4 linked regions of the Rhinolophus ferrumequinum genome follow. The protein of the gene in region 3 binds, or shares a complex with, the protein of the main gene of each other region. Links are inferred from orthologs where the notes say so. Each region holds a gene or a part of one and is shown on either strand. Other genes may lie near its edges. The genes, in order: LSM6, TXNL4A, PRPF8 and TSSC4.

The links.
Region 1: PRPF8 (region 3) and LSM6 share a complex: the UniProt entries of both Homo sapiens proteins name them as parts of the U4/U6-U5 tri-snRNP complex. The link is inferred for Rhinolophus ferrumequinum from reciprocal best matches to the Homo sapiens genes PRPF8 and LSM6.
Region 2: PRPF8 (region 3) and TXNL4A share a complex: the UniProt entries of both Homo sapiens proteins name them as parts of the U4/U6-U5 tri-snRNP complex. The link is inferred for Rhinolophus ferrumequinum from reciprocal best matches to the Homo sapiens genes PRPF8 and TXNL4A.
Region 4: the proteins of PRPF8 (region 3) and TSSC4 are in contact, whole or in part, in a cryo-EM structure (PDB 7PX3), measured with the Homo sapiens proteins. The link is inferred for Rhinolophus ferrumequinum from reciprocal best matches to the Homo sapiens genes PRPF8 and TSSC4. Residues at the interface, in NP_006436.3 of Homo sapiens: Thr2087, Asn2088, His2089, Ile2090, Tyr2091, Val2092, Ser2093, Ser2094, Asp2095, Lys2108, Leu2111, Lys2112, Glu2184, Thr2219, Pro2220, Thr2224, Leu2225, Leu2262, Leu2263; in NP_001284587.1 of Homo sapiens: Pro153, Asp154, Tyr155, Glu160, Arg161, Trp162, Thr163, Lys164, Tyr165, Ser166, Leu167.

What each region holds. Positions count from the first base shown.
Region 1 is NC_046301.1:19,252,637-19,260,131, reverse strand, and holds the start of LSM6 (U6 snRNA-associated Sm-like protein LSm6), read right to left. Parts: upstream 3,017-7,495; 5' UTR 2,789-3,016; intron 2,782-2,788; exon of another isoform or gene 2,527-2,781; intron 1-2,526. UniProt on the Homo sapiens protein: Plays a role in pre-mRNA splicing as component of the U4/U6-U5 tri-snRNP complex that is involved in spliceosome assembly, and as component of the precatalytic spliceosome (spliceosome B complex).
Region 2 is NC_046302.1:60,340,863-60,347,952, forward strand, and holds the start of TXNL4A (thioredoxin-like protein 4A), read right to left. Parts: upstream 3,007-7,090; 5' UTR 2,977-3,006; coding exon 2,730-2,976; exon of another isoform or gene 2,688-2,729; intron 2,479-2,687; coding exon 2,306-2,478; intron 724-2,305; exon of another isoform or gene 575-723; intron 141-574; exon of another isoform or gene 71-140; intron 1-70. UniProt on the Homo sapiens protein: Plays a role in pre-mRNA splicing as component of the U5 snRNP and U4/U6-U5 tri-snRNP complexes that are involved in spliceosome assembly, and as component of the precatalytic spliceosome (spliceosome B complex).
Region 3 is NC_046304.1:16,246,446-16,253,272, reverse strand, and holds the start of PRPF8 (pre-mRNA-processing-splicing factor 8), read right to left. Parts: upstream 3,004-6,827; 5' UTR 2,874-3,003; intron 2,679-2,873; 5' UTR 2,668-2,678; coding exon 2,568-2,667; intron 2,056-2,567; coding exon 1,887-2,055; intron 942-1,886; coding exon 777-941; intron 686-776; coding exon 467-685; intron 336-466; coding exon 123-335; intron 1-122. UniProt on the Homo sapiens protein: Plays a role in pre-mRNA splicing as core component of precatalytic, catalytic and postcatalytic spliceosomal complexes, both of the predominant U2-type spliceosome and the minor U12-type spliceosome.
Region 4 is NC_046294.1:1,585,792-1,593,709, forward strand, and holds TSSC4 (protein TSSC4), read left to right. Parts: upstream 1-4,917; 5' UTR 4,918-5,290; coding exon 5,291-5,480; exon of another isoform or gene 5,481-5,563; intron 5,564-5,578; exon of another isoform or gene 5,579-5,985; coding exon of another isoform or gene 5,986-5,992; intron 5,993-6,339; coding exon 6,340-6,455; intron 6,456-6,568; coding exon 6,569-7,567; 3' UTR 7,568-7,759; downstream 7,760-7,918. Other genes in the region: CD81 antigen, read left to right, coding at 123-227, 608-709, 1,215-1,301, 2,229-2,291. UniProt on the Homo sapiens protein: Protein associated with the U5 snRNP, during its maturation and its post-splicing recycling and which is required for spliceosomal tri-snRNP complex assembly in the nucleus.

The sequences.
Region 1 (7,495 bases), on a different chromosome or scaffold from region 3:
TCAAACGGAAAGAAATATATCCAATGTGATTTTGAGCTATGTCACTGAGCAGAAGACATGCAAATCATTGTTTCTTGGAAATGCCTACCTGTAAAGTTTCACCTATTCTTAGAGTATTTAAAGTTTAGGGTGAAAAAAAGTTTGAAAAGCAAAAAATTGTTATGAAACATAACATTACAACCCAAGTAAATGCAGCTTTAGCCGAATACATCTGTGTCTGGGAAAGCTCAGACACTGAGGACAGCTCTCTAAACAGAGCCTTCCTTTCCGGCTGACCAGTCTCCCACCCGCGGTTCTAAGCTTCTCGGGGACAGGGAAAATGCCTTACTCTTGTGGTATCCCTGGTACCTAAGCACATGGCCCAAGCCTAAGGAAGAGGCATTTAAGGGCTGTGCCAAGCCCAGCCTGTCCCTCCCCTGCCCAGCTCCGCGGAGTGACGAGGACAGTACAGTCCATGCACTTCAGCAGCTGTAACACAGGCACATCTCTATTACTGAGCACCAAATAAAAGAAGGATGGAGGAAACAAACGTTTCTGTGTTGTCCAAGAACCAGCTGCAGCCCAATCAACAGAGATGTTGCTAAAATGCAGGATCCTGCAGCTTACTCCTAGTCAGACCCTCTAGGGAAGGGGTCCTGGAATTTATATAAAGTTTCCCAAATAATCCCTAGAAGCAAGTAGTTCTTGACCGGGGGGATTTTGCCCCCTACCCTTAGGGACATTTGGAAATGTCTGCAGACATTCTGGATTGTCCTGAATGAGGACGTGGTGCCACTGGGATCTATTAGGTTGGTGCAAAAGTAACTGCAGTTTAAAAGGTTAAAAATAATCGCAAAACCCACAATGACTTTTGCACCAACCTAATAGTAGGTAGCGGTAAGGACACTGCCTACCCTTCCACAAAGCACAGGACAGCCCTCCATAACAAAAAAGTATCTGCCCAAAACGTCAACTGAGGTGGAGAAACTCTGCGATTAGCAAAAAAACCATTGTTCTCTGGTCTTAACGCAACAAGAAGTTTTAAAAAACCTTCAAGGTGTAAGAAATGGGAACAAACATTTAAGTTCTAACCACATGATAGAATATAAATTATAACTTATTAGAAATTTTATTCCAACGTTTAGAGACTCTGAAAACAACTGTCAAAAAATCTTGAAGGGCTTGACATTCTAAATAATGGATTCCCAGTCCTGGCCATGAAGATGGTCACTTTCCCATTTTTCAGTGTCACAGATCCCTGAGATGATTAAAATCTGTTACCTGGTAAAATTCTAAAAGGACAGAATAATCCAAGTGATGTAAACATCTTTTTAAATTCTAATATTGAGTATGCCAGTTTAGTAAGAGATCACCTGACGCCCTTGAGAGGTGGGAAACCTGAGTTCTAATCCCGCTCTGCTACTTAATTTGCTGTGCCTCTCCCATCACTCATCACTTCACCTCTCAAACAAAGCCCCAGGTCCCTCATCTGCAAAATAAGGCAGTTATGCTAGCTGATGACTAAAGTGATCTAACAGCCTATGCAGTAACTTCCCACACACAAACATAACCTCTGAAGATTCCTTCACAAAATTCAAGCAAGCAGAATTGCCAGACAGCACCAAAAAAAAAAAAAAAAAAAAAAAAAAATCCAAAGAGAGGCTCAACTTTCCTGGTTGATGTACTGGAAATGTATCACTACTTTTGGTGAAACAGGAACAATCCTACAAGAATGATGTAAACTACTAAAACTATTTTGGAAAACAATCTGGCAATAGGCATGAAGACCTAAAAAGACCTTACTAGAACACAGCATCTATTCTAACAATTTTACTTCTCACAATCTAGTCCAAGTAAATACTCTGAAATCAGTTTTAAAAAGGAGTTTATCAAAGTACTATCTGAGATGCTAAACTGAAACAAGAATTCACAAATACCCTAAACGCCCCACAGTTGGGAAATGCCTGAGAACTTTATGGGACCTACACAATGACGGAACAATCAAAGGATACAACATTAGAGATGATATTTAAGAAAAAATTTTAAATGAAATTGGAAAACTAAATATAGTGTTAAGTGATAAAATGAGTGCTCTTAGTTCAAGGAGAAATGAGCACAAGCAAGAGTACAATATAGCAAGAAATTGTTGGTGGACGGGTTCAGTGAATGATTTTCTTCACTGAACTTCCGTATTTTCAGCTTTTCTACAACAGTCTCCTATTAATAAGGGGGTACACTAAATCGCGATCAACCTTATCTGCATCACCCTACCCCAGACACCCTGAACAAAAATACCTGCTATGAACGCGCGCGCGCCCCTACACACAAAACCCCGGTGACAGGCTTAACACTACACAGTCGTGGGCATCCCCAACCTGAAACCGCGGTAAGGTGAGCTGGCGCAGCAATTCGTTCCCGGAGGCCGGGCGCCACCACGCAGGGCTGCAGGCCTGGCCCCGTGGCCGGGGTCCGCTTTCCCGCCGAATCCCCAGGAGGACCTCCGGAACTACACCCCCCCCCCCCAGCCCAGCCGGTGCCGTTCCTCACCGCGCGGTCTAAGCGCCCCCCGGGGAGGGGCCTCAGGGCCGGGCTCAGGGACCCCAGACCCCACGACCGGAGACCTCCCAGCCATTCTAGGCGCGCAGGAGAGAACGTGAGCGCGGCATTTGGGGGAACCCGCCACCGGCAGGCTCCGGGATGGGCGCTCCTTCCCGGGGCTGCCGGGCCGGCCCGGAGTTGCTACTCCCCAAAGCGGCCCGGGGTTAGGGAACACTGGGGCCTCCCACGCCCCCCGCGACCGCGAGCTCACCTGCCGGCCGGGATCCGGAACCCCCACTCTGGGAGCCCCACAAGCCCCGCCTCCGCCGACAGCGGGATGAAACCGAAACTGAAACCACCAAGGCAGCCGCACTTTTCTCCTTCAGCGAATCAGTGCTTCCCGGGCTATGGCGGCCCGCGGGACCAAAAAGACCGGGTCTTGCAGGGGCGCGCAAATCCAAGAATCCTGGTTTGCCTAAAGGCAAAGTTGGTGCTGTGGGCTTCAAGTGGAAAGCGCTGGTGTGCTCTCCTTTAACGGAAAGCACTCCATCCCCCCCAAAAAAAACACGTAAAAAGAAAAGGAGGAAGTGATCTTCAGCCAAGACTTCTTTTAGGCAGGCATGTAAGAAATAGCTTGAAGTCATAGGAAACTGGGATTTACTGCTAAAATAATGATTATACATATCCAGAAATGTCCTTGAATAATTTAATGCAAATAAATACATAAAACAAGTGGCCTCAAATCTCTAAATCCACCTCTGGATTTTGATTGTGTGAAGGCGAAGCCATTATTAGCAAGAGATTGTTTCCGTGGCAACGTTAATTGACACAAAAAGAATCAAAATCACTAAAGTAGCTCTACTATAATGGCATAAATTGAGGTACGTTACAAACTAGTTCTAATTGGAAATGGTGGGCAGGCATTATTTAAGTGCTGTTATGGGAACTTGGTTTGGAATTTAGCATGAAGTCTCTATTCTTGTAATTAATGGAAAGGGAGAGGAAAACTCATACTCACTTGATTCCTTTTATCTCTACACACATGCCCTCATCAACTTAAACTTTAATTCTATATAATTTAGAACACTATAAACAGTGATAACAGCTTTAAACAGATTCTTAACCCTAAGCGTTATAGAATCTAAGATGCAGAATTTTTTTTCTAAGACAAAAAAATGCTTTTCCCCTCTTATAAGCCTATCTCTTAGCATGAACCTTTGATTGGTATGGTTCAGAGAACATAGGCATGTTCTACCAAAACATTCTCTGATTTGGTAGAAAAGAGAGACTTTCTTATATCCTCATATAAAAGCTCATTTTGGGTAAAGATAAAGCATCACAGGTTTATTGAAAGACTATATTTGAAGTTTTTGCGGTATAAAGTATAACGTAAACCAAAATATTAAGTAAAGTTTTATTTAAATTAAAATAACTACAAAGAATGAACATAGTAGGATACAAAGCCCTATCCCTAAAAAATGTTCACAAAAGACGTCAAATTGTACCACAGTTCTCCCTGGTTGTTTGAATTGTTCAAAACATTCTTGTTTTAATTCTTCCCTTTTACCACAGAGCCCCGATGGAGCCATTAAAACTGGTATGGTGGTCAGGGGGCAATGAGGAATTTTAAGGGCATGGTTCATCTCTAGAGGTAGCTTCAACCTTTCCAAGGGGCATGGATCTGTAAGGGCCCAACTAGACAATCGAGATGGGTGCCATGAATGACTGCAAAAGCTAACGAATTTATCAAAATGTGGTTGTACCCAGAACCTTCTCAGCAACTTATAATTAGCTTTTCTCAACTCACAAAGCAACTTTCCATATTTCACAAGTTATTTTTTTAGCATCTGTAATTTTACAAAGAAAACATGTGCAAGATTTTTTCTGAATACTAGTCCACCAAGGACTAGTCTTCAAACACGGGAACACAAACAGTAATTTATTAAGGTCATAAAAATAATTTGACAAACTTTAGTTTAGCTTACATAGTTTAATTTAGTTTAACTGTTACAATTGATCGACCTACATTGACACACCATTATCACCCTAAGTCCATAGTTTATATTAGGGTTCATTCTTAGTGTTGTACATTATATGACAAACATATAATGACATGTATCCAACATTACAGTATAATACAGAGTATTTTCACTACCCTAAAAATCCTTTGTGCTCTGCCTATTCATCCCTCCTCTATCCCCACTAATCACTGGCAACCACTCACTATCTTTTTACTTTCTCCATGGTTTTGTCTTTTCCAGAATATCATAAAGTTGGAATCAAGCAGTATCATGTAGCCTTTTCAGATCAACTTCTTTTACTTAGTAATGTGCATTTAGGGTTCCTCTATGTTTTTTCATAGCTTTATAGCTCATTTCTTTTTAGCGCTAGATAATAGTCCATTGCCTAGATGTACCAGAATTTATCCATTCACTAAAGGGCATCTTGGTTGCTTCCAAGTTTTGGCAACTATGAATTAGGCCGCTATAAACATCTGTATGCAGGTTTTTGTGTAGACATAAGTTTTCAAGTCATGGGTTGAGTTTTCAACTCTTTGGGTGAATACCAAAGAGTGCAATTGCTAGGTTGTATAAGGAGAGAATGTTTAGTTTTGTAAGAAACTTCCAAACTGTCTACCAAAGTGGCTGTAGCATTTTGCATTCCCACCAGCAGTGAATCAGAGATCCTGTTGCTCCACATCTGCACAGGGTTTGGTGTTTCCAATGTTTCGGATTTGGGTCATTCTAATAGGTGTGTAGTGGAATCTCACTGCAGTTTTAGTTGGCATTTTCCTGATGACAGACGATGCGGATCATCTTTTCATATGCTTATTTGCTAACTATATGTCTTCTTTGGTCACGTGTCTTTTCTGATCTTTTGGCCATTTTTAAATCGGACTGTTTGTTTTTTATTGTTGACAGTATATTTTGGAGAACAGTCCTTTATCAGCTATGCCTTTTGCAAATATTTTCTCCCAGTCTGTGGCTTATCTTCTCGTTCTCTGAAGCTATTATTGTCAAAATAGGCAAACGCTAGTATAAAAATACTAAGGTTCACGCTCACCATTCTATTATTTGTTCCGCACTTCTATAGTCCTATGCCTTTAGAAAACTGTTTTTCAGTGTTTCATGTTCATAAGAAAAAGTATCATGTCTAGCTTATTTTTTAAAAACATCCAACAAACAGCTTTGTGGACATGTGGGTGGTTGTATTATGCTAACAATGACAGATACAAATGTGGAATTGCATTGGCCAACAGTCTCCAAAGCAGACTTTAATACCTAAATCAGTGTTATCCTTCTAAGAACACTGGCTGGTCTTGTTCCAGCAATGCATTACTGGTATGAACTGCTGGCATGCACTTGGACCTTTCCTGGACCTTCGGACTGGACAACAAAAACATCTCACCTGTCATATTCTAGTTCGGGGTATTCAGACCACTATTATCTATCTTTTATCATGGGATGTAAAAATTATGTGTTGGGGCAGCTGGTTAGCTCAGTTGGTTAGAGCATGATGCTCGTAACCCCTGGGTTGCCAGTTCAGTCCCCTCATGGGCCAGTGTGAGCTGCGCCCTCCCCAACTAGATTGAAACAACTACTTGACTTGAAGCTGATGGGTCCTGGAAAAACACACTTAAAATAAATAAAAGTTTTTAAAAAACCTATGTGTTAAAGAAAAAGAAAAGAAAGACACCACATAGTTGTTAAATACCTCTCTCTCTCTCTCTCTCTCTCTCTCTCTCTCTCTCTCTCTCTCTCTCTCTGTGTGTGTGTGTGTGTAGCCTTTCAAGCATCTCACTGTTATGCAGAGTCTCAATTCCAACTCTCTACCCCACATGGGGCCAATGCCTTGTCTCTTGTATTCATAAGCCTTAAAACTGTCACTTCCGTTTTTCCTCCTATTGACTTGATCATCTTCTGGGTGACTGCGAGTGCTTTAAAACTGGTTTCATCAGTTAGAGCCCAGGCTCTTCACTTCACTGGGCCAACTCCTAATCAGACATTAGGCCTTAACTCAAACATAAATTTCTTAGAGAAAGCCTTTGATAATCCCTCACACTAGATATTCCTCCTCTTGTTCATGATCAGAGAATACTATACTTCTCCTTTGTACCACTTGTAAATGCCACAATTCAATAACTCTCCGTGTGTGTGTGTGTGTGTGTGTGTGTGTGTGTGTATGTTTTCTCCCTCATATGTTCTCTGTGAGTGCAGGGCCAGTGTTTATGTTATTCAACACTGTATTTACTGTAATATCTTCTGAGAAGTAATATAAACTTATTGACTGAAGGACAAATTTCTCAGGAAAGTCGGTGTGCCTTTTATTTTTCATAAGATGGGACATATTCTGCATCACAGGTACTTGGTTCCAGATATAATGTTTGAAATGTTTAAATAAATGCTCCGACTTCATTGGCCAGCATTTTAGTATAACTTGGATTTCAAAAGTGAAGGTCTCAGGGTCTGAGCTCCTCTGAGGAGAGTCTTTCAAATGCTGTGATGCTTTATGCTCCACTGTGAACTCTAGAAAACCTCTCTCAGCTGTAAAATTCAGTGAAATCGGTGTGACGCTGCCCTTGTATTTTAATCAAGATGAACTTGAAAGGTGAACATTGTAAGTGGGAGAAATTATTTATAATTTGGTAATAAAAGTTTATGTCTAACACTCCAAATTTCATACATCTGCTATGTGCTGGCCCTGAGATATAAAACAATTGAAGTTGCCTTTACATTTGGCCTTATATGAAAGGTCATAAATTAGAATGATAGCATTCGTCCTTTTTCCTAGCTCACAAAATTTCCATATTAACATCTTCACCTCAAACATAAATGGTTACCCAGCTGCAAAGAAAAGAGTTGTGCTGGCCTTTATGAATTATAGTTTATGTTGGAAATCTGTGGTACATAGGCTGCCGCTCATCTTTCACTGGAGTGTATCCACTTCAATGAAGCTAATTCTACCACAGTGAAACTAA
Region 2 (7,090 bases), on a different chromosome or scaffold from region 3:
AGGTCAGGTTCAATACACCACATTCCAGGAGAAACATCAGGTTCGGCCTCAACACTGAACTTTTACTCACTTCAGAACAGCTGGGATATCCAAACAGGGCTCGTGACAAGGTGAGGAGGATCCCCCATTGTCTGCCATTTCTGCAGAGGGAGATTTTTAAACAGAGTTAAATTGTTCTTTACACTAAAGCCTTCGATTTCAAAAATTCCTGTTGAGCTTCTCCAGAGAGAGCTTCCAGAATTATAGTCTTATTTTGCCCTTATACTAAGAAGAAAATAAAACATTAATAGTCTTGGAATGCACTTCAAGTTTGCACTTTGAACTGCATATTATAATACAGTATTAAAAGTTTATTAAAATAAAAACCCAAATTTTTGGACAAAAGAAAAAGAGAAACTTCAAGACCAAACAAAAATATTCAAAGTGAGCCCAATTAAAACTGTCCTGATCAACAGGTTCAAAACAAAACAAAAAAAAGAATGTGTTTACTACTGACACGGCTGTAACCTCAGTCTGTAACTGACAGAAAGGAATTAGGAAAGAACAACTCTGGTGAAAGTCCCTGAACACTTACGTTAACTCACAAAATATGCCTCCTAGCTAAGAGCATCTTGCTGAGTTTTGCTCAGACAGGAAGAGCCAACCAACCCTCAGGTCTCCAGCCATCCTGGCCTCGTGCTGAGGGCAGCAGGATCGGACATCACCTGGAGGTTATGCCGCCACCTGTGAGGCAGAATCGAGAACACACACCCTGAGTTATTTCAAAGTCAACAAGCTAATGATTTGCTTATTGGAGAAGTGCTTGGTCGTCTTCACTGAAGTCAGCAGTAGCTGCCCTTGACCTCTACAGCTTGAACAATGAATAAATGACTCCCTGGTACCACCTGACTCATGACCTCTGACCCCAACTGGGAGGCCCCCTAGTGTAAGCCAACAGCCCTCTCCAGAGCTCCCCAGGCACCTCCTCAAGCTCCTCAATGTCTTGGTGTCCAAGAGGAAGAGGAGGGGATCGCTGACAGACGCAGCACTCCTATGATAACCCTGACCTCTGTTGAGGGGTTTCTGAGAGTCACATCACAGTTCCCAAGGGAACTTCTTAATGACACAGTTTCGGGACCTCACCCCAGACCTACAGATTCAGAATCACTATTATGCCCTTTGGTAAGTAGTGCCAGTGGTACCTATGACGACTGACATGGAAGCTGCACAACGCACCACCCACACCTCACTCTTCTACCAAACATGAGACAGTAAAAATTAGCAATGGCAGGTCAGATAGCTTTTCCTTTCTTAAATTCAAAATATATCCTTACATCTGATACTATTCACTCAAAGGTGTTATTTTAACCCAGCTTATTTTAGCATCTCCTATTCCCATGAAAGATGTCTTCAGTGTTTCCACTTTTACTGTTCATTAAAATGAATGTCCTCTCAAATCATTTATAGAATATTAATAAGTTAATTATTTCATGAAAACCCCAATATATTTGCCTTTTGTCCTCTTGCAACAATTGCAAAAATACAAATCAAAGCTAACTTAAAATCGCCACAAGGAAATTATAAACAAAAGAATTACATGTCTGGTTATACAATAGTGCCCTACAATTGCACTTTTATTGTCATCCCATAAGTGCCACAGACAAACCAGTGTACTAATATTAAAAATTAGGAAAACTAGCTGTAACAAAGCACAATTCTACTTTCTTCTACCAGGCCCTTCATTTAAATCACTCTAAGCTATAAATCTAGTGACTTACAAAGAGCATGGTGGGGTAAAGAAAAGAAAAACGACAAAAAGAAAAAGAACAGGATTTATTATGCTATTAACATAAGAGTTCTGCTTTATAAATTCAACAAATAAACACAGTCCCCCAAAAAGGACAATCCTTTTAAACTAAGCTATTTAAAATAAGCTCCAACGCCCTTGCCAAAGTCTGCAAATGTGTTTTGTTCATGGTGCTACAGATGTATAGTCTGAAAATATCCTATCCCTAGGATTTATTAACTTATTTCAGGAGAGGGATCACGAACCTCTTTAAAATTTGAAAATGTATGGAAACTTTTCCCAGAAAAAGACATGTGCTATTACGTACGATTTCAGGGAGCACATCCTCACCTCACAAGGTAAAAATCTGTCCGTGTGTTAATCCTGCGTCTTCCCTTTATTTGGAGGCTGTGCCGCACATTAGAAATTAAGGCCTTAAGAATAAACATAGAATGCAGTTTTTAACCTCACTTTAAAATTTTCCCGCCAACTGGCAAAGCGGACGGTGGATCGCAACGTGAAGCTATGGGGCTGCGTTACCTTTTCCGCTATGCTGTACAGAACCTCGTCCATTTTCATGCACGTGGGGTCCCAATCGTGTCCAAACCGAATGACGACCACTCGGTCTTCTTCCGAAAGGATGGCCTGATCCACCTGCCAGCCGTTGTGCAAGTGCGGGAGCATGTACGACATCCTGGCGACTGAACTGGCCCCTGCGCGAGAGGAACTCGGTGGACGAGCTTCTTCCGCCTCAGCCACAGCGCGCGGCGCTGGCGGGGGCTGCCGCGCCGCTCCCCACAGACCAGGACCCCGCTCCCCGCCGGGCCCCGATCCCACGCCGGGCCCCGCTCTCCGCCCGGCCCGGCCCGGCCCACACGCCCAGCCCAACTCCCCGTCGGGCCCCGATCCCCGCCGAACCCACTTCCCGCGGAATCCCGCTCCCTGCACCTCGGCTCACACGCACCTCCCGCGAAGCGGTCACCCCCGGCGCGGACGCGCACTAACGTGCCCTGACGTGCACGTGCGCGTGTCTGCCGAGCGTGCGTCCGCCGTGCGTGCCCGTCGTGCGTGCGCGTGTCCGCAGCTGGGAGGCCTCGCGCTGGGTTCTGGTGGTTGCAGCGAGTTTTGCTGCGAGGGATGGCTGCGGTGGGTTGTGAGACCTGTTGTCTGTCCGGTGAGAGCGTCAGAGAGCCCGGGCTTCCCCGCGACATCCCCGCGACCGGCGGGAGGCGGCGCTGAACTGAGAGGACTCCATGAGCCCCGCGGAGGCGGCGGCGGACGGAGAGGACCGCGGGCGGTGGTGGGGCCGCCCCGAGAGGTGGGCACCTCTGCGGCGGGGCGTGTCCCCTTCACTCCCACGCGGAGGCCCCAGAGTAGTCGTTTTGGCGCTCACCCGTTCCAGACATAAACACGTGTGGGGACAGAGCCCCAAAAAGCAGTTTCCAGGCTCTCGGCCTCACATAGAAAGGTGCTGGCTCAGGTAGTAAATGGCCATCGACTGTGATCAAACGGCCGTCAGCTGTAACCAGTGAGCCATTGGCCACTAATATAACTGCCGTGGCTAGGCTAGCAGCAAATGGGGGCTAGCAAGAAGATGGTGGCTGAGCCTGCAAGCGGCGCAGTGAGGGGTGAGAATTGTGTGGCTCCTGGTCCCTGTGTCTCCAACCCAGCCGCCAGCGAGAGTAGAGTGGTGTGACTGCCCTACCTATGGCTCCGTGGGTGTTCCTGTTTGGCCTCACCATATCCTGCGTTCTTATGTGGGGAGCGGGACCAGAGACCCCGCAGGACACCCTGCATGACACATGGTGAAGTCGGCAGGATCCCCTGCCCTACAACACGGTTCGCTTTACTTGTCAAAAGCAGTATATTAACAGAAGTACGCCAAGCTAATGCACAAGACTCCAATGCCCCCAAATAATTTACTGCGACTAGCGTTTCTACATTCTATGTGGTGAAGTACATGTCAAGTGACCATTCTAATCCCATTGAAGCATTCAGTGGCATTCACTACGTTTGCCTGGTTCGCCTCGTTTGCAGCCGTCAGCACTGTCTGTCTTCAGATAGTAGGTCTTTTGTTCAAAAGCTTTGTTGAGGCAGCATTCACACAGACTGTGATGTGAAAGTCACCCACTTAAGGTCAAGTTGTTCAGAGTTGTGGAACCAACTCTTCTCTTACCAGACACACAATATGGAAATAGTTCCTCCCATTCTGTGGATTGACTTTGCACTTTTTATTGGTGTCATTTGTAGCACAAGTTTTAAATTTTGAATAAGACCAATGTATGTATTTTGTTTCTTTTATTGCTTGTGCTTTTGGTGTCATATCTGAGAAACCATTGCCTAATTGAAGTTCATGATGTTTACTCCTGTTTCCTTCCAAGAGTTTTTTTACTTTTAACTCTTATATTTAGGTTTGTGACCATTTTAAGTTAATTTTTGTGTATTTTGTTAGATAGGTGTCCAGCTTAATTTTTTTTTTTTTTAAGGAGGGCCCATCTCACAGTGGCACATGTGGGGATCAAAATGGAAACCTTGGTGTTACCAGCACCACGCTCTAACCAACTGAGCTAACCGGCCACCCCCCAGCTTCATTCTTTTGCACGTAGATATCCAGTTGTCCCACACCATTTATTGGAAAGGTTATTTCCCAACCAAATTGTTGAAAATCAATTGACTTTATAAGGATTTTTTTCTGTAGTGTTAATTCTATTCATCTATCTCTCTGTGTAGTCTTATGTCAGTATCACTATCTTAATTAATGTAAATTCGTAGCATTACCGCTGACACCAGGGGTTGTGTCCAAACCAAAACAAAACATGAGCAGAAGTTTGCAGCAGAGAACGAAAAGGTGTATTTAAGGAATTGGCACCAAGTCCCGAGACACGGGTGAGCTATTGCTCTCAAAGACCTGGCTCCCCGATGGCTCTAGCAGCCAGGTTACAGGAGGGAACAATCATTAATCGTGGTCTCTATGGGAGTGGGGGTCGTGGGCTCCACTAATTGGTCGGGGCCAAAGCAGAGAGCAGTTGGTCATGGCTGTGGGTCCTGGTGTCAGTCATGGCCTTGTTTGATCCAGTTCGCAGGGGGTGCGGTTGTGGGGCCGATCCGCTTTCATGAGTCCAGAGCTGAAGCATAACTGAGGCCAAGGGTCAAACCTTGTTCTAGTTGGAGGTTTGGTGGTTGTGTCTTGGTCATGATTGATAGACCTGACGCTTTATTCTTAAGTGAATTTGGTGTTGACCAGAACCCAGTGTCCTAAGGGCTTAAATGCAAGTGAATCATAGTTTTATCAGGATAAACAAAGCCTGCTTGGATTAAAGCAATATGCATGCTATAAGAAATGAAGTTCACGTACTGTGTTAGTAGTAAGTCTAGAAATCAGGAAGTGACTCCTCCAGTTTTGTTCCTTTTCAAGATTGGTTTGGCTTTTCTGCGTCCTTTGCATTCCATATGAACTTTAGGATGAGTTTGTCAATTTCTGCAAAAAAGGCAGCTGGGATTTTGATAGGAAATGTTGAATCTGTACTCCAATTTAGGGAGTATTGCTGTCTTAATATTATGTTTTCCAGTCCATGGATACGGGAGGTCTTTCTGTTTATTTAGGTCTTTATTTTCTATGGAATTATTATTATTTTTTAAACTTTTTTATTTATTTAAGTGTGTTTTTCCAGGACCCATCAGCTCCAAGTCAAGTAGTTGTTTCAGTCTAGTTGTGGAGGGCGCAGCTCACACTGGCCCATGTGGGAGTCGAACTGGCAACTCTGGTGTTATGAGCATCGCACTGTAACCCACTGAGCTAACTGGCTGCCCCTTCTCTGCAATTATTTTAAATAATTTCAGGTTATTCATAACTAGTGTGTAGAAATACAATTGGTGTTTGTATACTGATCTTGCATTCTGCAACCTTACAGTGTTGGGAGGCAGGATGCCATCCATTTTTCCCAGTGGTTTATCACCACTGTCCAGGAGGGATGCTGAAACAGGAGGGAATGCCCCAGGGGTCTTCTGGAGAGATTTCAGGTCAGGAAGAGTCCCCTCATCCAAACGGAAACTCTCAAAATAGCCCTTACAAATTCACAGTATTTGTAGTTTCAACGTCCCTTTGCCATAGTGGCTTCTCCACATCCTCCTATCAATAAGCCCCCAGAGGGACCACGGGCCGCTTAGTTATCAAGGACAACAGATGTAGCACTACTTACTTCATTGTAAGCGTGCCCCCTAGGATGTCATGGCGTGGGCCGGAGACTGGACCGAGCTCTGCCGCGTGGGCGTGGCTGTGACCCCAGACCTCACCTGGGATAGGTGAGCCACGTTAAAGTCCTGACACGCATCCTGACCCGTATTTCAAGATCCTAAAGGATTTAACAGGGGAAAACCAACGTTGTTATTATTTATTCCTGCCGCGTTTGAGAGGTTTAAGGTGGCTTCAGGGACTCTGCTAGAAATTAAAGGTCAATTTGTACAGGTATTTATTTTTCTGAGCTATAGGCAATGGCAGATTAAGCTTTAAATGGGTAAAATTCAGGTACTCACTGTTAGGCATGGCTGGCGGAATGAGTGAGTTGCGAGCGACCAAAATTGGTCTATTAGAATTTATTTGGCATGTTTGAGCTGCAAAGATCATAACCTCCCCCAGCAAAAAGGGGTATAGAGTTTTATAGGTGGGGGTAAACAAAGTTGTTCCCCCTTCAATGCTTCAGGGGGTTTTTGTTGCATTGTCTCTAGCAGCAAAGGGTTTCAGGGCATGACCTAGCCCTCCTGCTGGCTCCACACCCTGGCCCCCAGGCCTCCGTCTGCCCAGGCCCACTGATCACAAGCCCCTAGGAGCCAGAGTTCAAAGCAAGACAGGATAAGCTGGTTTCTGCTTTCCTGGAGGCTTCTCCAGGCCTAAGGCAAACATTAGTGAAAGATACAAGGCCTAAAGCAGGATGAGATGGCTTTTAAGATACGAAGCTTCCTGTTCCTGGCCTAAATATGGCCTAACACTCACATCAGATTTTAGCTCATAGTTTATTCCCTTATAGGAATCTAGTTTTTCAGGAGTGTAGCACCTGTTTTTGCTGAGACACATTGTGGTTTTAAATTATATTGGGCTTGTTGATACCTGGTGACTAAAGAAACATCACAAAAGATGAAAACAGTTCAGTTTTCATCAATCCCTCACTAGCAAACAGATTGTCAAGGACTCCGAACTCTTTGGCATAGCTGAATCTTTTAGGTCCCCTTATCTAGTCATGTACTGATCAGATAATTTTCCATGCTAAGATAATATCATGCGAAGGATAAGAAAGCAGAGGGGCTTCAGCCTCTTTTCTGAGTCTCTTG
Region 3 (6,827 bases):
GGGTACAAAATCAAAGACGAGCAGACCAGTTGAAGAGTTTGGAAGTTACAATGGATCTTAAGGATCGAGAGTAGATTTTATTCAAGCCAAGATGCCTAAAATCCCTACTCTCTCCAACTTACTGTAGGTTGATATCTCGAACAAGAGGTTCAAATTTGGGGCCTCCAGGAATGGCCATATTGAGTGCCTTGGACGTAAAGAAGGCCTTCAGATCAAACAAATAGAAGTAGTTGTCATCTACCAAGTCTGTCAGGAGCTGATTGGCCAGGCGGTAGAGAGTAGACATCATGGGCAGTGTGAACTGCCAGCGCTGGTAAGTAGAGCCATTCACATACCTAAGGGAAAAAAGACAGGCCCACGTCAGACAGGTATACCAGCTAGCCAAGCCACACTACCAACTGCTCTCTCAAGACCCCTGGACTTCCAAACCTCTCACAAGAGTGGTAATTACTCCAACCACACTTACTTCCTGCTATCCCTCAATGGCTGGTGGTCATAGAACCAGTCCAACACCGGGGCGTCCTCCTCAGGGTCCAGCTCTAGCTGAATGGCCTCCAGCGGCTCAACATCTAGGATGTTGTCAGCATAGTCCAAAGGTGGCTCCTCATCATCAAAAGGGGGAAAACGCATCCTCTTGAAATGCCTCCTGTCTCTTTTTTCTCGCCGCATCATAATCCACATTGACCTGGAAGCCAACAATGTCACACAACGGTTTCTACCCAATGCCTCCCAACCACCACCACCACCACCACACGCCGTATTCCGGCCCTTCTCACCCCCACTGGGAGATGTAGACAGGTTCAATGACCCAAGGAATCTCATTGACAAAGGAGATGGCTCCAGTGATGTGGTATAGTACAGGCACATCCCGAATCTGCTCCCAAGGCATAGGCATGTTCTCCAGGAGTTTGAGGACTGCATGGGGCATGTACTTTAAGGCACTGCAGCATTAGGAAGAGATGATTAGAAATCACAAGATGTTCTGTTACCTGTTCCACGAAGAGACGCAACATGGTATCACAGTATCATATCCCACAGAAAATTCTGCCTTACAGTCCAACTCCCAAATTTAGCACACAGGCCCTCCATGACCAGGAACTCTGCCCCCACCGCAACTATGCCAGTTTTAAACTTCACAGTCCCACAATACTGGGTTTCAGTCCCTCTAAATCTACAGCTCTCCCTCTAAAGGCAGCTTTTAAGCTGTCTCATTTTCTATTCTCTCTGTACTTTCCCATAAATAATAAAGTATTCAGATACTTTACTGTAACCGTTTGTCTCATGTCTGTCATGCCACTAGACTATAAGCTCCAGAAAGACTACCACTTCCTGTTCCCTGCTAGGTGCTCCCTTGCACCTAGCAGTTCTCAAGAAATAGTTCTGAAATAAACAAAACTTCCATGGCTGTCTTAGACTAGTTCATTAAGTAGCTAACATTTTTATGTCCAAATGGGAAAGGGATTTGCTACGGCATTTGTACTCACCCAGCTCAGACCACAGACAAACAAGAGTATAGAGACCGCAGGAGTTAACTATTCCCAAACCTGAGAATTCTGGTCACTGAGGAGTGAGAGGCAAGAAGAATGCACAAAGTGTCCTGTTCTGGGCTTCAACCCATTCAAAGACAGGGACATCTTAGCATAGTACCAACAGCACAAATTAAAGCTCCAGTCCCAGATCAGGAAGTAAAATCTGGACCATAATTGGAAGATCTGGAAACTATCACAGGATCCTAGTGGTTTCCTCTCTTCTAATCATCAAGACAGGCTGTACTAGAAGATTAACGTCCCAAATGATAGAGCAGCTATCCAGGACTACAACTTATAGGACAGAGAGAAGGGAAAGGGGCCAGACTCCAAAAAAAAAAATTCCAGGATGTTCTTTACCCCAAGTAGACCCTTTTGTCATGGCGAAACTTCCTGTTGGTCATGTCTCCATGGTCTCGAATAATCTTCCTGACATGTTCTGGGGGCATGTCTTCCTTCTGAGCATCCACAAATCCAAACTTCCGCTTTTCCGCATAGCGCTTGGCCTGTAATTGCTGCCATTTTCGGGCTACAAAGATACCTCAGTTTAAGGGACTGAACTCAGGTAAGGGACCCTTAGCCTACTCCTCCCCACCTCTTGCCCTAGGGTAGGCTCCCGTCAGGATGTATGAAAAAGAGGCCAGCATCCAGAAAGAGATTCCCAGCCAATTCTCTCATCAACTCGCTCTGCTTTATTTTTTCCTTCATCACGTTATCACTGCCTAGCATTTCTATTACAGATTTTTAAGTTTTTTATTTTCTATTTTCTTCATTGCAATTTAAATTCTGTAAGGGCAGGGATTCTGTCTGCATCGCTACTGTTATCTCCGTTGTTTGGATCAGTGCCTGCAAATAACAGACGCTCTTCAAGACCCGATCAGGTGAAAAAATAAATGGGGAGGGGGCTAAGAACCGCGCTAACGCCTAATGTTTTGACACCTGCCAAAACAAAGGGAAAGGGTTCAAACCCGATGCGCACGCGCGCACACCCGTCCCTACATCTCCGGGCCCGTAGGCACCGCTCCCGCATGCGTTCTTCACCTTTTTCCTGCAGCTTCTCCTCCGACATGTAGTCCGGCAGCGGGGCTAGAGGGCCGGGTACCGGGTTACCCGGCCCTCTGTAAGGAAAAACTCCGGCCATGTCCGGAGAATCTGGGGGGCGGCGGAAGAAAAAAATTAAGGAGTAACAGGGCCGGGGCCTACAAGAGGCGCAGCAGGAACGCGTCGATACCCGCGGCCTGCAGTACCGCCTCGCTCAGAGTAGGCACGGCCCGGCCCAATCCCTCCCGCCGCTCAGCCTGACCCCACCACGCCTCCCGCAGCCAGCCCTTAAAGCCCGCTACGCACCCCTACAGCCCCCCAAACTCGCAGCCCGCCGCTCGCTGGCACCGCAATGGCGGCAAGCCTACGTCCGCTTCGCGTTCCCAACGCCGGGAAGTGCGCAACCCGGGTTCAGTAGTTGACCCAATAGGCGCCGAGGTCCTCAGACAAGTTAGAGAACTCACCAATTAGAGTTGCATATCGGGCCGGAGGGGGCGGGCCCATGGGCGGAATTATTAGAATGCGAGGGGGTGTGGTCGGAGCAGGCGCAAGCCCCGCCTCCCGCGTTTCTGAGCCTGCTTCTGGGCCCTTTCATAAAGCCTCGCGGTCTTATCCGCGACTGTCCTCTGATCGTGAGAAACCCAAGCTTCCAGAGTTTTAATAAATTTGTCAAAATCTGCACATTATTCTGTGTCTAGTCTCATAAATGTAGACTTGAGATGCAGTACTAGCTCCAAGTCATCCAGTCCTTTGTTCATTCATTCATTCAACCATCATATATTGAGTACCCACTATGTATTAGTGGGAATATAGCAAAGAAAAAGCCAACCTCACTGAGTTCACAGGGTAGCAGGGATGCAAACAAGAACCCAGGTTCTTAAGATGTGTTGTGATCGGAGTTCGGGAGCAGAACATTTAATCCTGCCTGCCAACATAGAAAAATAAAAGGTCTTGGGGAACAACATTTCTGGGTGTCTTTTCCCTTCCCTCTCCAGTCCTCTTTTCTCTCTTTGGCAATGATTACACTATGGAGTTTATATTGGACAGCCTATAAATGCTTCTTGAGTCCCTCAGGCTCTGCCTGAATTGCTCTCCATCTCCTACAATCCTCCTACCATCCTTGTTTTACTTCCCATCCCTCTTTTTTTTTTAAGATTTTTTTTTCTTTAATTGGGGAAGGGGAACAGGACTTTATTGAGGAACAGCGTGTACTTCCAGGACTTTTTCCAAGTCAAGTTGTTGTCCTTTCAATCTTAGTTGTGGAGGGTGCAGCTCAGCTCCAGGTCCAGTTGCTGTTGTTACTTGCCGGAGTGGAGGAGTCGAACCAGCAATCTTGTGGTTGAGAGCCCTTGTTCCAACCAACTGAGCCATCTGGCCACCAGGGAGGTGACCGGCAGCTCACTGACTTCATTCTAAATGCAGAGGACGCAGCTCGCTGGCCCATGTAGGAATCCAACTGGCAGCCCCCTGGCCCACAGCTGACATTCTAACCAACTGAGCCACCCGTCTGCCCTCCCATCTCTCTTGCTCCATCCTTTGGTAACAACTTTCAATCTGACTTAACACATAAATTTGTTTGAATCACACCAAGTTTATTGTGGAGAATGCAGAGGAATTGTAACCAATACAGCCTCTCAATCTTGTTGGGAATTTGGGAGTCAAAGGTAAAATAGAGAAAAATACAAAGGAAGATTCCAGACAAGTTTTGGCTGGTGTGGAGGTTCATACAGTTCAAAGAAGGGAGAGGAGCATTATGAAAGGTTTGATGGCAATGGGTAGATTTGAAGGATTGGATGGGGTAGAGAAAGAGGAAGGAAAAAGGAATCCCAGGTAGTAGAAACTGCTAGAATTAGCATTTAGAAAGAGGCACAAACATGGCATGCTCTGAAAAGAGCTTCAACCTGGCTGCAGTAGAAAGTTCAGCAGCATCATCGTGTTCATCATTGTTACTGTAGTGAAGTCTTTACCACCTGTAGAAGGTTCACTATGTACCAGTTATTGTTTTAAACCCTGGTAAAATCCTAATACTGTCTATAGTTTCATTAACACTATTGTACTGCTAATGTCAATTTGTAATCATGCCAATAGTAATGTCGATTTCCTGGTCTTGATTGTCCTACTATTGTTATGTAGGAACTTCTCAAGTGGGCAAAGAGTACACAAGAACTCTCTGTACTATTTTCGAAACAGCCTTATTGAAATATAATTGGCATTCCATAAAGTGCACCTGTTTAAAGTACACAATCCAATGATTTTTAGTATGTTTACAGAGTTGTGCAATTATCATCACTATCTAGTTCCAGAACATTCTCATCATCCCTAAAAGAAACGATGTAACCATTAGCACTCACTCCCCATATCCTCCTACTTCCTCCTCCTCAGCTCTAGGCAACCACTAATCTATTTTCTGTCTCGATAGGTCTTCCTGATCTGGACATTTCATATAAATGGCATCATAGAATAGTGGTCTTTTCTGACTGGCTTTTTTTTACTTAGTATAATGTTCTTGAAGTTCATCCTTGTGTAGTATATATACTCATATAACTTTTTTGGAGAAATGTCTTTCCAGATCCCTTACTCATTTTAAAATTGAGTTGTTTTTTTAAATTATTGAGTTGTAGGAGTTCTTTATATATTCTAGATACAAGTCCCCTGTCATACATATGATATGGAAATGTGTTCTCCCATTCTTTGAGTTATCTTTTCACTTTGTTGACGGTGTTCTTTGAAAGACAAAAGTTTTTAATTTGTATAAAGCCCAACTTTTTTTTTTAATTTATTGGGGTGACAATTGTTAGCAAAATTACATAGATTTCAGGTGTACAATTCTGTATTACATCATCTATAAATCCCATTGTGTGTTCACCACCCAGAGACAGTTCTCCTTCCAACACCATATATTTGAAGCCCAACTTTTAAAATTTTCTCTTCTATTGTTTATGATTTTAGTGTCAAATCTTAGAAATCATTGCTTAATCCAAGTCACAAAGACACAATCCTATGTTTTCTTCTAAGAGTTTTATAGTTTTAGCTCCTACACGTAGGTCTATGATTCACCTTGAGTTAATTTTTGTACATGATATGAGATAGGGGTCCAAATACTTTCTTTTGCATGGGGATATTCAGTTGTCCTAGCATCATTTATTAAAAAGACTATTGTTTCCCCCTTTGAATTGTCTTGGCTCCTTTGTCAAAAAATAAACTGACCATTTGTTTCTGGACTCTCAATTCTATCCCATTGATCTATAGGTTTATCTTTATGCTATCTGTGCTATTTTGTAACTTTCATGTGAGCCTAAAATTATTTCACAATAAAAAGTTAATAAATAAATAAGCAATCAAAGCAATCTAACAAGAGAGTTATTATTATTACGATCCCCATTTTACTGATGAGAAACCCAGGCTCAGAAAGGTGGAGTAACCTGCCTTGGGTCACATGATTAATTGCATGACACATGTGTCAGGTTCTGTCTAACAACTTTATATGTATTAGTTCATTTAATTGTCACAATGATCCAATGAGGTAGGTGTTATTGTTAGCCTCACTTTATAGGTAAAAAAACTGAAGCTCAGAGAAATTGAGCCACTTGCTCAAAGCCCCACAGACAGTAAATACTGGAAACAGTAAAAAATGGCTCTGGAGCTTATGTTTTTAACCATACTGCCATATCATCTTCTATGTTCATGCTAAGAAGCATAGATAATGTTGGATGGCAAAATTTCAGCCAAATTAAAGCTGGTCTTGAATTCCAAGCAGAATTTTGATATTTTGCCAATGATTTGACCTACTTGACAATGATTTCCAAGCTTTTTCTTTTATAGCTAGGAAACACATGTGCAAATGAAATAATTTACAAATCAAGAAACTAAAACTTAAAGAAATTAAGTACTTCTCTTAATGTCTCTTAACTGGTCAAACACAGTCTGTCTGAGTTAGTCTGACGAAGCTCAATTGAGGAGGAAAAGTGACCAAGCCAGGAAAATATCTGAACAGAAAACATTAACTGCCATTATTATGGACCATTCACTGCAGTCAAACCAGTCTCCTCATTGTTCGAGGAGTTTAAAACTGAATGTGGAGGTGACTGCAGGTCATAAAAATGAAGGAGTCCTCTGGCTAGAAATACAGAAGTGGCAGTCTAGGAGCTGAGATGAGGGCTTGAAGCATCAGACTAAATTTGATACTAAAGCCATGAGAAAGAGTCAGTTCACAGAAGAAGAATAACAGAAAAGCAGATGAGGAAGGCTTGAGATACACAC
Region 4 (7,918 bases), on a different chromosome or scaffold from region 3:
CCTGGTAGGAAGGCCACAGAGGGCTTTCTGGAGGAGATGGCCTGGGGGCTGAGCTGGGGGTGGGGGTTGGGCCTGTCCCCCGGGGGCTGGCCCTCACTGAGTGTGACCACATCCGTCCCCAGATTGCCAAGGACGTGAAGCAGTTCTATGACCAGGCCTTGCAGCAGGCCGTGCTGGACGACGACGCTAACAATGCCAAGACTGTGGTGAAGACCTTCCACGAGACGGTGCGCTGGCCGGGGAGGCGGGGGCTGGGGGCCGCCTGAGGTGGGTGGCAGCCGGAGCCTGGCTGGTGCTGTCTGACCTCAGCCCAGACCTGGGGTCTGGCAGCTCTGCTCTCAAGGGCCGAGGGGCTTCCTGTGCCAGCCCTGGGGGGGCTTCTCTGGGACCTTTGGGTCCTTGTGGGAACCAGATAGACCAGGCCGGTGGGAGTGCAGCCTGGCTGAGCTGGAAGGAGGGAAGGAGGGGCCTTGGGCAACGTCCTTCCCGGAGGGGACATCCCAGCCCCCACCCGCACGCCAGAATGGGGAAGCCGTCGGGATGCATGTCCCTGGCCGTCTCCCCACACATGCGTGGGGCTGATCGTGGGCCCCCTGGGTCTCTGCAGCTCAGCTGCTGCGGCTCCAACACCCTGATCTCACTGGCCACGTCTCTGTACAAGAACAATCTGTGTCCCTCGGACAGCAACTTCATGAGCAGCGTGTTTAAGGTGTGTGGCAGTGGGTGCGGCGGGGCGCCCCAGGCGGGCTGGCCGGCTGTTCCCCACTTCTCTGCGTCCCTGCCCCCTGCGGGTCCCAGGTGTTGGGTGGGCCCCCAGGGGCACGTCAGGGACATGGCCACCATGGGTGGTGCTGTGGTCTGAGTCGGGTGCTCTGCCTGGGGGCTGTGTTCTACTGATGGCCCCCAGGGAAAGTGCGGGTTCCGATGGGGGAGTCTCAGTGTCCGGCAGCCAGTGGGCGTGGAGGGTGACCCCTTGGTCAGCATCCATCCTTGTGATGCTGAGTGGTCTCTGAGTAGAAGAGGGTGCACACAGCACATTTGTTTTGAACTGGATGTAAGATAAAACCCAGCAGAGACCCGGCCCTGTTCACGCCTCTTCTGAGGGCAGCCAGGGCTGTGCCCCTCCGTGCTCTTTCTGCAATGACCCCAGGCTGCTGCATTGCGGGGGGCCCGAGGACCAGCACCCCTGACCGCCCGCTGGCCATCCCCCACAGAAAGACTGCCACCAGAAGATTGATGAGCTCTTCTCGGGGAAGCTGTACCTCATCGGCATTGCGGCCATTGTGGTCGCTGTGATCATGGTGAGCAGGGGCAGCAGGCCGTCTACTCAGGCCCCGTGGGTCTCGGTGCTGGCTGGGGACTGACGGGGTCTCCGGGTGCTGACGGGGTCTCCGGGTGCTGACGGGGTCTCCGGGTGCTGACCGGGTCTCCGGGTGCTGACGGGGTCTCCGGGTGCTGACGGGGTCTCCGGGTGCTGACCGGGTCTCCGGGTGCTGACCGGGTCTCCGGGTGCTGACCGGGTCTCCGGGTGCTGACCGGGTCTCCGGGTGCTGACCGGGTCTCCGGGTGCTGACGGGGTCTCCGGGTGCTGACGGGGTCTCCGGGTGCTGACGGGGTCTCCGGGTGCTGACGGGGTCTCCGGGTGCTGACGGGGTCTCCGGGTACTGACCGGGTCTCCGGGTGCTGACCGGGTCTCCGGGTACTGACCGGGTCTCCGGGTGCTGACGGGGTCTCCGGGTGCTGACGGGGTCTCCGGGTACTGACCGGGTCTCCGGGTGCTGACCGGGTCTCCGGGTGCTGACGGGGTCTCCGGGTGCTGACGGGGTCTCCGGGTACTGACCGGGTCTCCGGGTGCTGACGGGGTCTCCGGGTGCTGATGGGGTCTCCGGGTACTGACCGGGTCTCCGGGTGCTGACGGGGTCTCCGGGTGCTGACGGGGTCTCCGGGTACTGACCGGGTCTCCGGGTGCTGACGGGGTCTCCGGGTACTGACCGGGTCTCCGGGTACTGACCGGGTCTCCGGGTACTGACCGGGTCTCCGGGTGCTGACCGGGTCTCCGGGTACTGACCGGGTCTCCGGGTGCTGACGGGGTCTCCGGGTGCTGACCGGGTCTCTGGGTGATGGCGGGTACTGTCGGGGTCTCCGGGTGCTGTCGGGGTCTCCGGGTGCTGACGGGGTCTCCGGGTGCTGACGGGGTCTCCGGGTGCTGACCGGGCCGCCTCCCACAGATCTTCGAGATGATCCTCAGCATGGTGCTCTGCTGTGGCATCCGGAACAGCCCTGTGTACTGAGGCTCCACCGCTCTGCCCGGCGGGACCCCTGCGGTGCCCCCAGAGCGACCTGGACACTTTGAGGAGGGTATATAACCGCCTGTGTATATAACTTTTCTGGTATTACTCTACTACACTTATTAGTCCTTTTACTTTTGAGGTTTTGTTTTTGTCCTGAAGTTCCCTGTTACCTTTTGGGGCTGACGTCACCTGTACGTGGCGTGTGAGTGGGCCTTGGGACTGCAGGACAATGGCCCCCTCTGCTTCTGAGGCCTCTTGGGGGACTCCGCCTATTCAACCAGGCCTCTCCAGGGGGCCGAGGGGGCCCCCCCACTCCAGCTGTGCCCTCCCTCCCACCCACCTGTCCCCATGGGTTGCACGGCTCACGCCTTTTTTAATCCGTGTTCCTCTCCTGCCACCTGTCTCTAGAGCTGGGTCTATGAGTGGCCTTATACTTTCAATGCATCTGTCCTTTCTAACACGTCACCTACGATTGTAATTACATCTTGAAATTCATTCAATAAAGAAGGAAAAACCAGGCATGCTAACAAACTGTCCAGCCCCTTCCTGTGCCCACAGCATCTGTCCCGGGGTGGCCCAAGGGACAGAAGACCCTCACACAGGTGGGGCTCAGCTCTGTGGACTTTGCCGGGCCCAGGTATGCTGCCCACCTTGTTGGGGTGTCCGGGGAGGACTCCATCCTCCAGGTGGCAAGTGCCCCTTTGTTGGGCCCTGTGCTGCCTACAGAAGCCTCCACCCAACCGCACTCCCAGCTCTCCTCCTCATGCATTGCTGCCAGGAGCGGGCAGGGCGGGTGGGGCGGCCAGGGACTGTGGTGTAGGGCATGCTTGAGGTGGGGGATCCCCTTCTGAGGGACAGCTCTGTAGAGGACAGATGCACTGCTCCCTCCCGAGTGTCTGAGGGTCCTCTCCTTGCCTGTGGAGAAGCTGGGTGGCTGTGGCCAAGTGGCATCCTGCAGGGGCTGGAGGGGAAGGTCTCAGCCACACCCAGGAGGGGCCACCTGGCCCACCACAGCTGTTCTTCCCATAGGGCATGGGCCTCACACAGGCACTGACCTGTGTGCACTTTATTGTTTTTTTTTATTGGGGAAGGGGAACAGGGCTTTATTGGGGAACAGTGTGCACTTCCAGGATGTTTTCCCAAGTTGTTGTCCTTTCAGTCTTAGTTGTGGAGGGAGCAGCTCAGCTCCAGGTCCAGTTGCCGTTTTCTAGTTGCAGGGGGCGCAGCCCAATATCCCTTGCGGGACTCGAGGAGTCACACTGGCAACCTTGTGGTTGAGAGCCCACTGGCCCATGTGGGAATCGAACCGGCAGCCTTCGGAGTTAGGAGCACGGAGCTCCAACCGCCGGAGCCACCGGGCGGCCCTGACCTGTGTGTACTTGAAATTGACCCCTTGAGGCCACGAGGCCTGGCTGGGGATTCGGGAAGGGCTTCCTGTGGCCTTCTTGGGGGCTGATTTTAGAAACGAACCCCAGCCCTGCTGCACTGAGGGTTGGGGTGTCATGGGGCCTCCGTGTGCCCCTCCACATCTTGTGCTAGGGCAGCTTGGTTGGGACAGTAAGACGGCCCACGGCGGCCCCTCCTCTCTCCTGGCCCCTATGCTCGAGGCCGCGGGGACATCCTAGCAGAGGGCTGGGTGTCACCTGCAAACTGGTTCCACTACAAAACCAGTGCTCGGGGTGGACCGGACCAGCACTTCCCCACGAGGCCACACGGGGACGTGGGGGCGCTTAGGAATGAGGTGTTGCGAGCTTGCACGGAAAAACAGGCTGTTTCTTCCTTGGTTTCCCGGGCCAGGCGGCAGGGCCTGCACACCGGATGCGCGGAGCACGCCAGGACACCAGGCCTGGGACAGGGACCGGGTGCAGCAGGCCAGCCGCTAGGGGCTGAGGCGCCGCGACCTTGTGGGGCACGAAGCGGCCCCAGAGGGAAAGGGAGCAGGGACACTTGGCCTGACCAGGGGAGACCGGGACCTGTCCTCCACTTCCCGGCAGCACTGACCAGTCTGGCCATCGGCCGGCGGGGCCAGGTCGCCACTCCCAAGTGGCCTGCCCCCCCCACCCCCACCCCTGCCCCCGCCCCGGCTGCCCTCCAGCCCTAACACACTCGGAGGTTGAGATGAGCGCTCAACCTGCGGTGCGCACGTCTCTCAGAACCAGAGGGGCGCGGCCGGCCGCTTCCGGCCAGGGCCGGAAGTGTCCGCGAACGGCGCCGCGTACGCCGCGCACTACGACGCACTTCCGGTTTGAGGGACCTCTCATCATGGCTTCCGGCTGCGCGCGATGGGGCCACGGGAACACGGCGCTGACCGTTAGCACTCGTGTATTCTGGGAGTCGCGGTTCGGCCTCTCCCTCCGCCCCCTTCCCCCGCCCGCCTCCTCTCAGTCGGTTCCGGGCTCTTCGCGAAAGAGCGCCGCCATTTCCGGGGAGTGGAGGCTGCGAAGAGAGCGCATGCGCAAGGACTACAAGTCCCGACAGGCCTCGGGAGTAGCGGCCCAGTACGTTTTAGGAGATGTAGTTTTTCAGGGGCGGAAGCCGCGGCACTCTGCCGGCGGGGTACTCAATTTCCCATAGGGTCGAGCGCGGCGCAAGATGGAGGCGATCGGGCCACAGTGAGCCGGTAGGTTGGTGGTGAGGGGATGGCGGCACAGGCCAGTCGGGGCCTACTGCCCCGAGCCCAGAGACCCCCGTGCCTCGAGGCCTGGCCCTTGGGACCCCGAGACTCGTGCGGTCCCCGGACCGTGGCCCAGCCAGGCCGGCTTGGTCCCCGAGACCCAGGCCCGACAGGGAGAGCCTGGTGCGCAGGCGGCGAGGCTCTGGGCACGCACAGTGCAGAAAGTGAAGACTGCTTCCCAGGAGGGAGAGAGAACCCACTTCCTGGGACTTGGCCTGCCTAGACCCCGGCCCTCTGACACCCCTGCCCGAGACCCAGCGCCACCCCCGCCTCGGCTCTGCGGCCACTGGGCTCCCGAAGTGCTCGGAGAACTCCGAAGAAACGGATGCCCGGATGCCTTCTCTGGGGGGCTCGGTCTCCCCGTCCCCCGCCCCCCGAGTGTCCCACTGATTCTGCTACTTCTCGCAGTCGCGGGAGCGTCCCCAGCGGTGCAGCGGACGGGAGTGCGAATTTGGGAAACAGGAGTCGGCTTGGAACTGCGGGGCCGGCTCTGTCGCCCCTTCGCGCTCCTGGAGGTAGTCCTTCGTTCAGGAATGGAGGGCTCGCCTTTGTTTGCCCCGGGACAGGGCCGTCAGAGCCCCTCCTGGCCTGTTCCTCGGTGGGTGCGTCAGCAGTGAGTCCCCCCCACCCTGCGGCGAGGGAGGCGCGGTGCGGGGGGAGGAGGCGGTGAATGGACGGCTGAGAGCAGGGCAGAAGCGTGAGGCTGGGCTGACCCCTGGGCCTGGACACACAGGCCGCGAGCTGCCTGGCCACACGTGGCCACCACACGGGTGTCAGCAGCGCTTCTCTGCTCAGCTGGGGAGGAAGCAGGGGGTGCGGGGAGGGCTGCGGGAGAAGAGACATGCCCCCCGAAGGTGCTCCTAGAGCCGCGGCGGCTTGCCTCTGCCCAGCGTGGCTGTGCGCGGTGATCACAGACGCTCCACTTGCCTGAGAGCTGGACCCTCAGATGCCGAGGACTTGGCTGCACAGCCCCCTGGGACTCCAGGGTATCGCCCAGCAAACGGGAACAAAGCTCCCCACATGCCAGGCAGGTGCCACGCGCCACGTAAGCAGCGGATAAGTGGTTGCACTCGGTTGTGAGTGGGAGTGTTGAGCGGGGGCCGCCCTTGGCCCTGGGTTCAAGGGCCACTGGCTGCTCACGACCGGAATCTTCCACCAGCAGTTCTCTTGGTCGCTCGAGTTGGGCTCCACTTGAGAGGATTGTTGGGACTGAAGGAGGTGACATGTCAAAAACACCTGCTCGCTGGCCTGGCCTGGCCCAGCCCGTGTCGGCGGCTCTGTAGACCCAGGCCCACTTCCGGGTCATGGCACCCCCCCACCCCGTCATGTTCGCCTTCTGGGCTGATGGTTGGCTCTCCCTTCTCTCTCTCTCAGCTACGCTTGAACAGCTGAACAGAGCTGTGCCTGGAGACCTTCTAGGCGGAGGCCACACCCACGCCTTTGCCACCTCTGCCAGCGGCTCCGTTCACCATCCCCTGCAGACAAGGAAGGTGAGGAGGATCGTTCGGGGGGAGAGGGACCCGGGGCAGTGGGTCTGCAGGCGAAACGTGTTTTAAACCCATGGTGTCCTCAGAAACCAACTTCATGGGCTGTTTTGGTCTAGGTGTGGTGTGGCCCAGGACACATGGCTGAGGCGGGGACTGGCGAGCCCTCCCCTGGCTTGGAGGTCGAGCAGGGCCCCGAGTATGATGATGTCCTGCCTTCTGATACCATCTCCCTCAGCGACTCGGACTCTGACCTCAGCCTGCCTGGCAGTGCTGAGCTGGAAGCTCTGTCCCCAGAGGGGCTGCCAGGGGAGGCCCAGGGGGACTCAGGCCCCGACGAGCCCCCCTCGCCCCCCAGGGCCCTCCCTACAGCCGCAGTGCAGCCGTTCCACCTGAGAGGCATGAGCTCCACCTTCTCGCAGCGCAGCCACAGTATCTTTGACTGCCTGGAGGGGGCAGCCGGGCGGGCGCCACCCTCTGTGGTCCACACTGGCCTAGGGGACCGTGGGGGCTTCAAGCGGCCCCTGGCGCCCTCACGCCAACCTCCAGCAGAAGGCCCAGGCAGGGCCAGTCAGAGCCCTGTCCCCCGGAGGGCGCCCCCCGTCCCCGACTATGTGACCCACCCTGAGCGCTGGACTAAGTACAGCCTGGAAGACGTGGCCGAGGCCAGTGAGCACAGCAATCAGGCTGCCGCCCTGGCCTTCCTGGGCTCCCGGAGCCTGGCCGCCCCCGGCCACTATGTGCCCTCCTTCAACCAGGACCCCTCCAGCTGTGGGGAGGGCAGAGTCGTCTTCACCAAACCGGCCCGCGCCGGCGAGGCCAGACCAGAGAGGAAGCGGGGTCTGAGAAAGGCAGGGGCGCCTGGTGGGGCTGAGGGGCCTGTGGAGCTGGCCCACCTGGCCAGGCCCGGGAGCCCAGAGGCCGAGGAGTGGAGCAGCCCGCGTGGGGGCGTGCAGGAGGTGGGCACGCCCGAGGGGGACACCCACACCGAGTCCGCAGCGGGCCCCCCAGGGGTGGACATTGTTGGCTTCCACGGCAGCAGGAAGCGCAGTAGAGACCACTTTCGGAACAAGAGCAGCAGCTCTGAGGTCCCTGGTGCTGAGGGGGCTGAGGGCTGACCCGAGAGCCTGCCTTGGACTTGAGGAGCCCCAACCCCTTGGGAAGGAAGCCGGTGGGCTGCCTGTCGGTGGCGCCAGCGGCCCTGGCTGGGGCTCAGGCAGTGGACTCGAGCAGAGACCTTGCTTGCCACTGATGGGCCCACTGGGTGCCCGTGGGGAACAGTAAAGCTTTTGGGTATTCCTCAGGCTCTGTGTCTCTGTGCAGACCCCACCTCCCCAGGACCCGTTGGCTGCAACCTTCTGTGCTCTCCAGCCTGCCCGGTCACCCGTTCCCACACTTGGGCCTACCCGACAATGTCGGTCGGGGGCTCGGAGAGGTTTTAAAGCTCCGCCTGCTCCCCTTGGTGGCAG